Cricetulus griseus: one gene and its partner. The protein of the gene in region 2 purifies or fractionates together with the protein of the main gene of each other region. This does not show direct contact. Links are inferred from orthologs where the notes say so. Each region holds a gene or a part of one and is shown on either strand. Other genes may lie near its edges. The genes, in order: Reep4 and Retreg3.

Evidence for each region.
Region 1: the proteins of Retreg3 (region 2) and Reep4 purify together in Homo sapiens (affinity purification with mass spectrometry; 3 studies listed by BioGRID and IntAct, with this or other methods). This does not show direct contact. The link is inferred for Cricetulus griseus from reciprocal best matches to the Homo sapiens genes RETREG3 and REEP4.

Annotation. Positions count from the first base shown.
Region 1 is NW_023276807.1:225,189,967-225,194,214, reverse strand, and holds the start of Reep4 (receptor expression-enhancing protein 4), read right to left. Parts: upstream 2,865-4,248; 5' UTR 2,409-2,864; coding exon 2,377-2,408; intron 1,623-2,376; coding exon 1,550-1,622; intron 1,137-1,549; coding exon 1,060-1,136; intron 969-1,059; coding exon 848-968; intron 447-847; coding exon 333-446; intron 157-332; coding exon 21-156; intron 1-20. UniProt on the Homo sapiens protein: Microtubule-binding protein required to ensure proper cell division and nuclear envelope reassembly by sequestering the endoplasmic reticulum away from chromosomes during mitosis.
Region 2 is NC_048600.1:114,143,906-114,147,719, forward strand, and holds part of Retreg3 (reticulophagy regulator 3), read right to left. Parts: intron 1,795-3,814; coding exon 1,657-1,794; intron 302-1,656; coding exon 219-301; intron 1-218. UniProt on the Homo sapiens protein: Endoplasmic reticulum (ER)-anchored autophagy regulator which exists in an inactive state under basal conditions but is activated following cellular stress.

The DNA of each region.
Region 1 (4,248 bases), on a different chromosome or scaffold from region 2:
TGGATTCCTTTTCCACTTACCAATCGGGGGTCTGCGTCGGGGTATCTGATCTTCCAGGTAGAGGGGATCTTGGTAGGTGGGAGCAGGGGTGTCAGGGATAGAGCGGAGGTCTTGCATGGAGAAGCTCCGTAGTCTTCCAGCTAGAGCACCCTGACTCTGGGAGGTGAGGGATGGGGGGGGCACTATATTAATTGCAGAAGAGGGCTACGGGGGAAGGGCTTTAGCAGGAAAGCTGGTCTGTAGCTAATCACTAGGGCACAAGATTCAGAACTGGACTGGCTCAAAGGTACTGGGAGTGGGGCTGCCGCTGTGAGCACTGGGACCCAGAGCACCTTGGTAGCAGCCTGCACAGCAGCTGAGGCCGCGATGTTGAGGCTCCGCTTCCCGAAACTGAGCATGGTCTCATAGCTGCGCTCCTTTGCCTGCACAATGCATGCATCGATCTCCTGCAGAACCAGAGTAGAGAGCTCAGATCAACAAAGGAGCCATTTCTCCGCAGACCCCAAGAAGCTACTGGCTGTCATAATCCCTTGCCCACTCTTACCTAGGACCCAGGAGCCACAGACAGAAGCTCAGAACAAAAACTAAGAGCAGGGTTCCCCACCCACAACACCTACTCCACACCTCAGTGAGTGTCCCTTCAATTTTCCCATGCCCACATCAACTTCCTGCTGGCATGTCACACCCCTGAAGTTCATTCACATGAGGGAAGCCAACCCCTTTCACAGTCCCACAGCAAGTGGGACAGGAAATGAGACCCAGGTATCTCTGGCTCCCTGAACCTGAGATACAGGGCTCTCCCTGACACACCCTTCTGGTGTTCCTTCTCTATCTCCCCCAGGGGTACCTTCTCATGGCGGGATAGGGACGGGTGGACAAACTTTCGGTAAAGCAGGCTAGCTCCCTTGGTGTAAGGTGAGAGCAGCCATAGCACGAAGGCCATCTTGATCTCATAGTAAAAAGGGAACCTGCGGGAGCACGGGGAGAGGTGTCTGTGAGCCAGGTGCGAGGTAGTGGGTAGGCCTTCCCAACCCATGGCCTGCCAATCCTGTGCCAAACCAGGAAATGAAGACATCTGTGAAGGTCTCTGCGGCCATGAAGATTGCAAAGACAATCCAGTACATCATCCACCGGACCTGTGGGTCGGAGTGCACAGAGCTCAGCTTGGGAGCCTGAGGTGCCAACGCCCACCCCCCGGCTGGCCCAACCCAGAGATTCCTGAGAGCCAGTCCCACAGCATTGCTGCATTTCCCCATGTCTGCGTAGAAAGGAGCCCCTGAGAAACTGCCTTTCATTCCAGTGAATGAATTCCAGTGCCTTTCACCCCAGCATGCTTCACCCACGAGGTCCTCCATGGGCATGCTAATGGCTGGCCCTCCTTTCACACTTACTTGACCATTCTACCCAAGAGCTGCCACACCATCAAGGCCCTGGAGTCTGAGAGGCCAGCTCAGCCGCTTCCATATCACCAAGTCTTATCACCCCTCCCTGACTGCTCCTCAAGATCAACAACATTAGTTAAGCTTTCCCGCCAACCCTTGGCACTCACATATTCTCGAATGTTTTTGCTCTTCACAGCCTTGTAGGAAGCATATGCAGGATACAGCATCCCAAATACGAGCCTGGAACAGCAGCCATGGGAAGTGTGAGGGGCACTATGCCCCACCCTGTCTCTGCCAGATGGCTGATTCCCCCAAACTGGGCTCGAGGTGGCAGTGCCTGCCCTGTTTTTCCCGCTTGGCTTGCACAACCCAAGGTGCCTGAGTCAGTGCCCTGGAGGCCGCCTCCCCACCCAGCTGTTTACAAACATCCCAAGCCTGCTCAGGCCTGCACTGGTGGCCCATGGGTACAGGATAGACAGAGAACACACAACGAGGTGAGTGAGAGCACCAGGCTGTACCCTTCCACTACACACAGACTGGCCCAGGGCCACCAGGTTGCAGAGAGAGACATTTGAGCCAGGTGTTGGAATATCCAAAAGTGAGGGGTAGACTTAAGAGGCCAAAGCCGGGGAGTGGGTGATGGGTTATATGGCTGCTCAGATGGGAAGGAGGAATCTGGATTCTCCGCCCACAGCTGCGCCTATCACCTTCTCACGGGGTTGTGGGTAGCAAAGCCTGAGCGAGCCCTGCCTGCACCTGTCTGCAGGGTGTGCGCATGTCGGAAGGGTCCCAATCAGCCTTTAGAAAGATGCGGCTTGGGAGAAAGGCATTCATTGATCAGGTCCCACTTCAGACCTCCAGGACCGTTAAGCGTGTGATAGGGGAAGGCTGATGGAGTTCAGAAAATTCTCTCCTTTACCAAACGTTCCCAGTTTCCACCCCAAAGGCAGGCTGGCACCGGGAATCAGAGGGGTCTCACAGGGGCCATACTCACACCACCAGACGACAGATCATCCAGGACACCATCCTGACAGCCTTGGGGATGACCCCCAAGAGACAACTGGAGGGACGCTGCACTCAGGAGCTGGGGCAAAGAGCCGAGTGGCGCTGCAGTACAAGTGTCCCTCGCGTACGCAGAGACCACCACCCCGACTCCGACCCCACAGTGCGAGGAGCCTGGAGAACCAGGAACCAGTGGACGTAGGGCCTTGAAGAGGAAGACGACTAGGGAGCGGGGAGGCGGGCGCGTTCCTCCGCCCCTCGCCGCGGAATCCTTGCGGCTCAGTCCAACAAGTCCTGCCAAGGAACACCGCGCGTTCGTCCGTTGGGGGCGCCGCTGCTAGCCCCGTGTCGGGGAAGCAGGTCCCGATCTCCGCTCTCACGGACCGTCAGGGTTCGGGGCGACAGACCACCTGCACCAGTGTCCGGGGCGGAGTTTGTAACTCACTTGAAAGTTGCACGGAACCTGGTTTTGCCCAACCCCGGTGCTCAAGCTCAAGGCGCAGGCGCAACGAAGCCTCCAGAGGGGCGGGGCGAGGTCGTGGAGACAAAAGGCCGGTCCCTTAAAGCGGCGATGCTGCTCGCAGCGCCGAAGTGGGGCCACGGGTCAAATAGTGTTCCAGGTCTGAAAGGTTAGCAGGTGGAAAGTCACAACGGAAAGACACAGAGAACAAAAACAACCCGGACTCCTAGCTAAATGTGGTGGCGCTCACATGAACCCCTGAGTCTGAGGCAGGAGAATTATCGGTTCAGGCTGGGCTACAGATATATCAAGACAATGTTGCAAACAAACAAAAGGAAAGAAGTTCATAATGAAAGAAAAAACAAATTGTATTGGAGTCTCCCGATATCCTGTTCTGCCTGTCTGTAGAATGAGATAAAGCGTGAAATGAGCCGGGCGGTGGTGGCGCACGCCTTTAATTTTCGCACTTGGGAGGCAGAGGCACAAGGATCTCTGTGGGTTCGAGGCCAGCCTGGTCCACAGAACGAGTTCCCGGACAGGCTCCAAAACTACACAGAGATGCCCTGTCTCGAAAAACCAATGAATGAATGAATGAATGAATGAATGAGCATGAAATGAATGCGTCCAGCGGGAGACTCCGGTGCCAGCTGGAAGTAGGCTTGGCTGATCCCTCCATCCTAATGGTCAAGAGTGGAGTCGGGGAGGCATCCTCCCAGGGGTTCCACTTCTCTCTAAAGCAGATCCATACATCTGGGCACACATTGACCCTAGTGTCCTGAGAGATTGAATGAAGATCCAGACTCACCCATGTCTTCTTTACCAGAAATTTGGAATTCTATCTGTGTCTGAATGAAGGATACAAACTTCACAGAAAGTTCTAAAACCATCACTTGCTATTTTGTGCAGTGCTTTCGTGCTCATGTATTTTTTTGTTGTGTGAGATGGTGGAGTTATTAAAGATTCTTCTTAAGAGGTTGGCCATACCGGAAAGGTATAATACTTGAAAATATTAAATAAATAAAAATAAATAAATAAATAAAAATTAAATAAATAAATAAATAAAAATAAAAAGGCGTGCGCCACCAACGCCCGGCCAAAACTTGGGTATTTTATCATCATTATCATCATTATAATTATCTTGGTTTTCGAGACAGTTTTTGTTTGATTGATTGATTTGAGGGGAGGGGCTATTTTCAAGTCAGGGTTTCTCTGGCTGTCCTTCAGCTCACACTGTAGACCAGGCTGGCCTCAAACTCACAGAGATCCTCCTTCCTCTGCTTCCTGAGTGCTGGAGTTAAAGGTGTGTGCCACCAACACCCCAGCAGTTTTTCTTTTCTTTTTTTCTTTTTTTTGAGATTTTATTTATTTATGTATACATTGTTCTACTTGCACATTTGCCTGCGT
Region 2 (3,814 bases):
ATGATGGTAAAGTAAAAGGAAACCCAAGTGAACGTGCTGTTCACCAGGCCCATACAGTAGCAGGTTCTCTCCTCAGTGCTGCTATTGAGAAGAGAGTAAGGGGAATCGAGGGTCCTTGACGGGCTTAAAACCTAGTTACCATCTAAATGTGAGCAGCTAGACAGATAAAGAAGAATTAAGAAAACAGGCCAGTAGAGCCGCTTCCCCACACAAGATACCTGAGGACAGAAGGCGGCAAGCTCCTCTTCACTGTCACTGTGGTTGTTCAGGGCACGTTCTGGGTGTAGAGCTCTCCGGCGCACTATGTGGAAAGAGCAGAAGACCTTGATGGCTTCAAGGGAAAATCTCCTTTGGACTCCAAAAACATCATGACACAAGAAGAGGCCCTCTAAATATAGCCCTAAGTCTGCATAGCAATGTCTAAAGGTAAGAATACTGAGGCTGAGTAGTAACTCATGAAACTACATCTTTCCTCCAACATCCTTCCTTTGTCCAAGCCCTACACATTCTAGATTCTGGCTAGACGATAAACTACCAAACCACCCAGGAACTCTGAGGATCTGCTAGGGGCAAATACAAAGCAAAGTGGTACAAGTGGGAACAGTCATAGGAAGAAGGGAGGCACTCATGTTGGTTAAACAAGGCTTTTAATGACTGGTATTTTTCAACTGGTTGATGAAGCCCAGATGAAGATGGTGACCACATATGGGACTCTTTGAAGGCCAGGGCTTAATGAAACACCCAAACTGGTAAACCAAAGAGAGGGACAAGTTTACGATACCCTCTTTGTGTTATGTAGCCTCAGGCTAGTAGTGCACTTGTGGCATCTATGGTAGCTGTTTTCAATCCACTTTAGCAGACAGCTTTCATTAATTGAAAGAGGCTTAAGGTACAAAAACCTGCTGGGCCATGGTGGCACACACCTTTAATCTCAGTACTCGGGAGGCAGAGGCAGGCAGATCCCTGTGAGTTTGAGACCAGCCCGAACTACAGAGTGAGTTCTAGGACAGCCAAGGCTACACAGAGAAACTTGTCTTGAAAAACCAAAAAAGTGCAAAACCCTACATTAACATTTACTCAGTGTAAATGTTTTTTACAGTGTACAAAAGCAGTCAATACAGGGCTCGGACACTTGGAAGGTGTTTCATAAAAGCAGGTGGACTATGAACATCTTTGATGTCTTTTACTCAACTTGGAGTTTTTCTCAGATTGGTTTAAAATGGGAGCCTAAGTGAGAAAAACTGGCAAGCCTGCCTAAGTTTCTCAGAAATAGGATACTATACTTCCTTACCACCCAGGATTTCTACCAACTACCCCCTCCCTACTTCTTGAAACTTCTTGAAATTTTTAAAATTACTTTTATCTGTTGTTTCTGTATACATGTGAAATGGTAACACCTGTGGAAGTCAGAGCACAACTTTGTGTGTGTGTGTGTGTGTGTGTGTGTGTGTGTGTGTGTGTGTGTGTTTCTCCTTCCATCACAAAGGTCTCTCGTATTAAACTCAGGTCATCAGGCTTGGTGGCAAGCACCTTTACCTGCTAAGTCATCTCATGGACCCTATTCCTCCCACTTTTAACACTTGGCCAGTATGTGACACCTGGCTTCTCCACTTTCTCAAAGTGTCAGGTAGAAGAAAGCCACCCCATAACACTTACATTGTCTTTCTCTCTGCTTGGACATCATGTAGCCACGGACACTGAAGTCCAGCCGCTGCAGAGCTGGCTTCAGTCGCACATAGGCTCGATCCCATAGTCGGTGATATACAGCCAGAGGCCACATCATAACAGTGACAACTGAGGAGAGTGGAACAGTAGGAAAATAGAGATCACACAAAGCAATCCTACCTACCCCTCCACTATTGTGTCCCTAGGACTCAAGATACTGCAGAAAATTCTAGTTATTTCTGCAGGTCACCTCCACTAATGACCCCCATTATACAGTTTTGAGAGCAGGGACTACTGTAGCCATCCACAAGGTACAGGTCATGGCTATGCATAATATAATAAGCCACAGACAGCCCAGGGACAGAGCTAGGAAGTGTGGACATATGGAACAAAATGATGGTAACAGTCATGTGATTCTGAGATAAATTATGTATAAAAAATAGTACACGTAGATGTCCAACATGACAGCACACACCTTTAATTCCAGTGTGCAGGAGGCAGAGGCAGGTGGATTTCTGTGAGTTCAAGGCACGCCTGCACTACATGAGTTCCGGGATGGATGGATGGATGGATGGATGGATGGATGGAGATAAAATAAAACACCTGGAACTAATTTCTTCCAGCCTCCAACAGTACATGCCAGTACAAAGTAACTACATTACAGGAAAAGTCCTCCAGAGTGAACACAGAGAAGGAACCTCAGAACTGTCTGGAAAGCTCCATAAACAGAGGCGGTCCTTCAGGATGGGACACCATGTACATTAGTGAACAATCATCAATGTCTACACCTTGGTAAGATGGGCCAGGGATATATATCAGTGGCACAACACTTGCTTAATATGCATGGCATGCTGGGCTGGGTTCCCCAGTACTGCAAGCTCCCCAAAAGGAAATGGAGTTTATGCCTTATATGTGGAATATCAGTTCCACGTGAAAAGACGTTTAATGATACCGATCATGTCCTGAGTATATGAAAAGAAGTAATTGTTGGAGAACTGAAATATAATGATGCTCTTCCTAGGCCAGCAGTTCTCAACCTGTGGGTCCTTTCTCAGCAGCTGCATATCAGACACCCTGCATATATCAGACACCCTGCATATCAGACACCCTGCATATCAGACACCCTGCATATCAGACACCCTGCATATCAGACACCCTGCATATCAGACACCCTGCATATCAGACACCCTGCATATCAGACACCCTGCATATCAGACACCCTGCATATCAGACACCCTGCATATCAGACACCCTGCATATCAGACACCCTGCATATCAGACACCCTGCATATCAGACACCCTGCATATCAGACACCCTGCATATCAGACACCCTGCATATCAGATACCCTGCATATCAGACACCCTGCATATCAGACACCCTGCATATCAGACACCCTGCATATCAGACACCCTGCATATCAGATACCCTGCATATCAGACACCCTGCATATCAGACACCCTGCATATCAGACACCCTGCATATCAGACACCCTGCATATCAGACACCCTGCATATCAGATACCCTGCATATCAGACACCCTGCATATCAGACACCCTGCATATCAGACACCCTGCATATCAGATACCCTGCATATCAGATACCCTGCATATCAGACACCCTGCATATCAGACACCCTGCATATCAGACACCCTGCATATCAGACACCCTGCATATCAGACACCCTGCATATCAGACACCCTGCATATCAGATACCCTGCATATCAGACACCCTGCATATCAGACACCCTGCATATCAGACACCCTGCATATCAGACACCCTGCATATCAGACACCCTGCATATATCAGATACCCTGCATATATCAGATACCCTGCATATATCAGATACCCTGCATATATCAGATACCCTGCATATATCAGATACCCTGCATATATCAGATACCCTGCATATATCAGACACCCTGCATATCAGATACCCTGCATATATCAGATACCCTGCATATATCAGATACCCTGCATATATCAGACACCCTGCATATCAGACACCCTGCATATCAGATACCCTGCATATCAGATACCCTGCATATCAGATACCCTGCATATCAGACACCCTGCATATCAGATACCCTGCATATCAGATACCCTGCATATCAGATACCCTGCATATCAGACACCCTGCATATCAGAC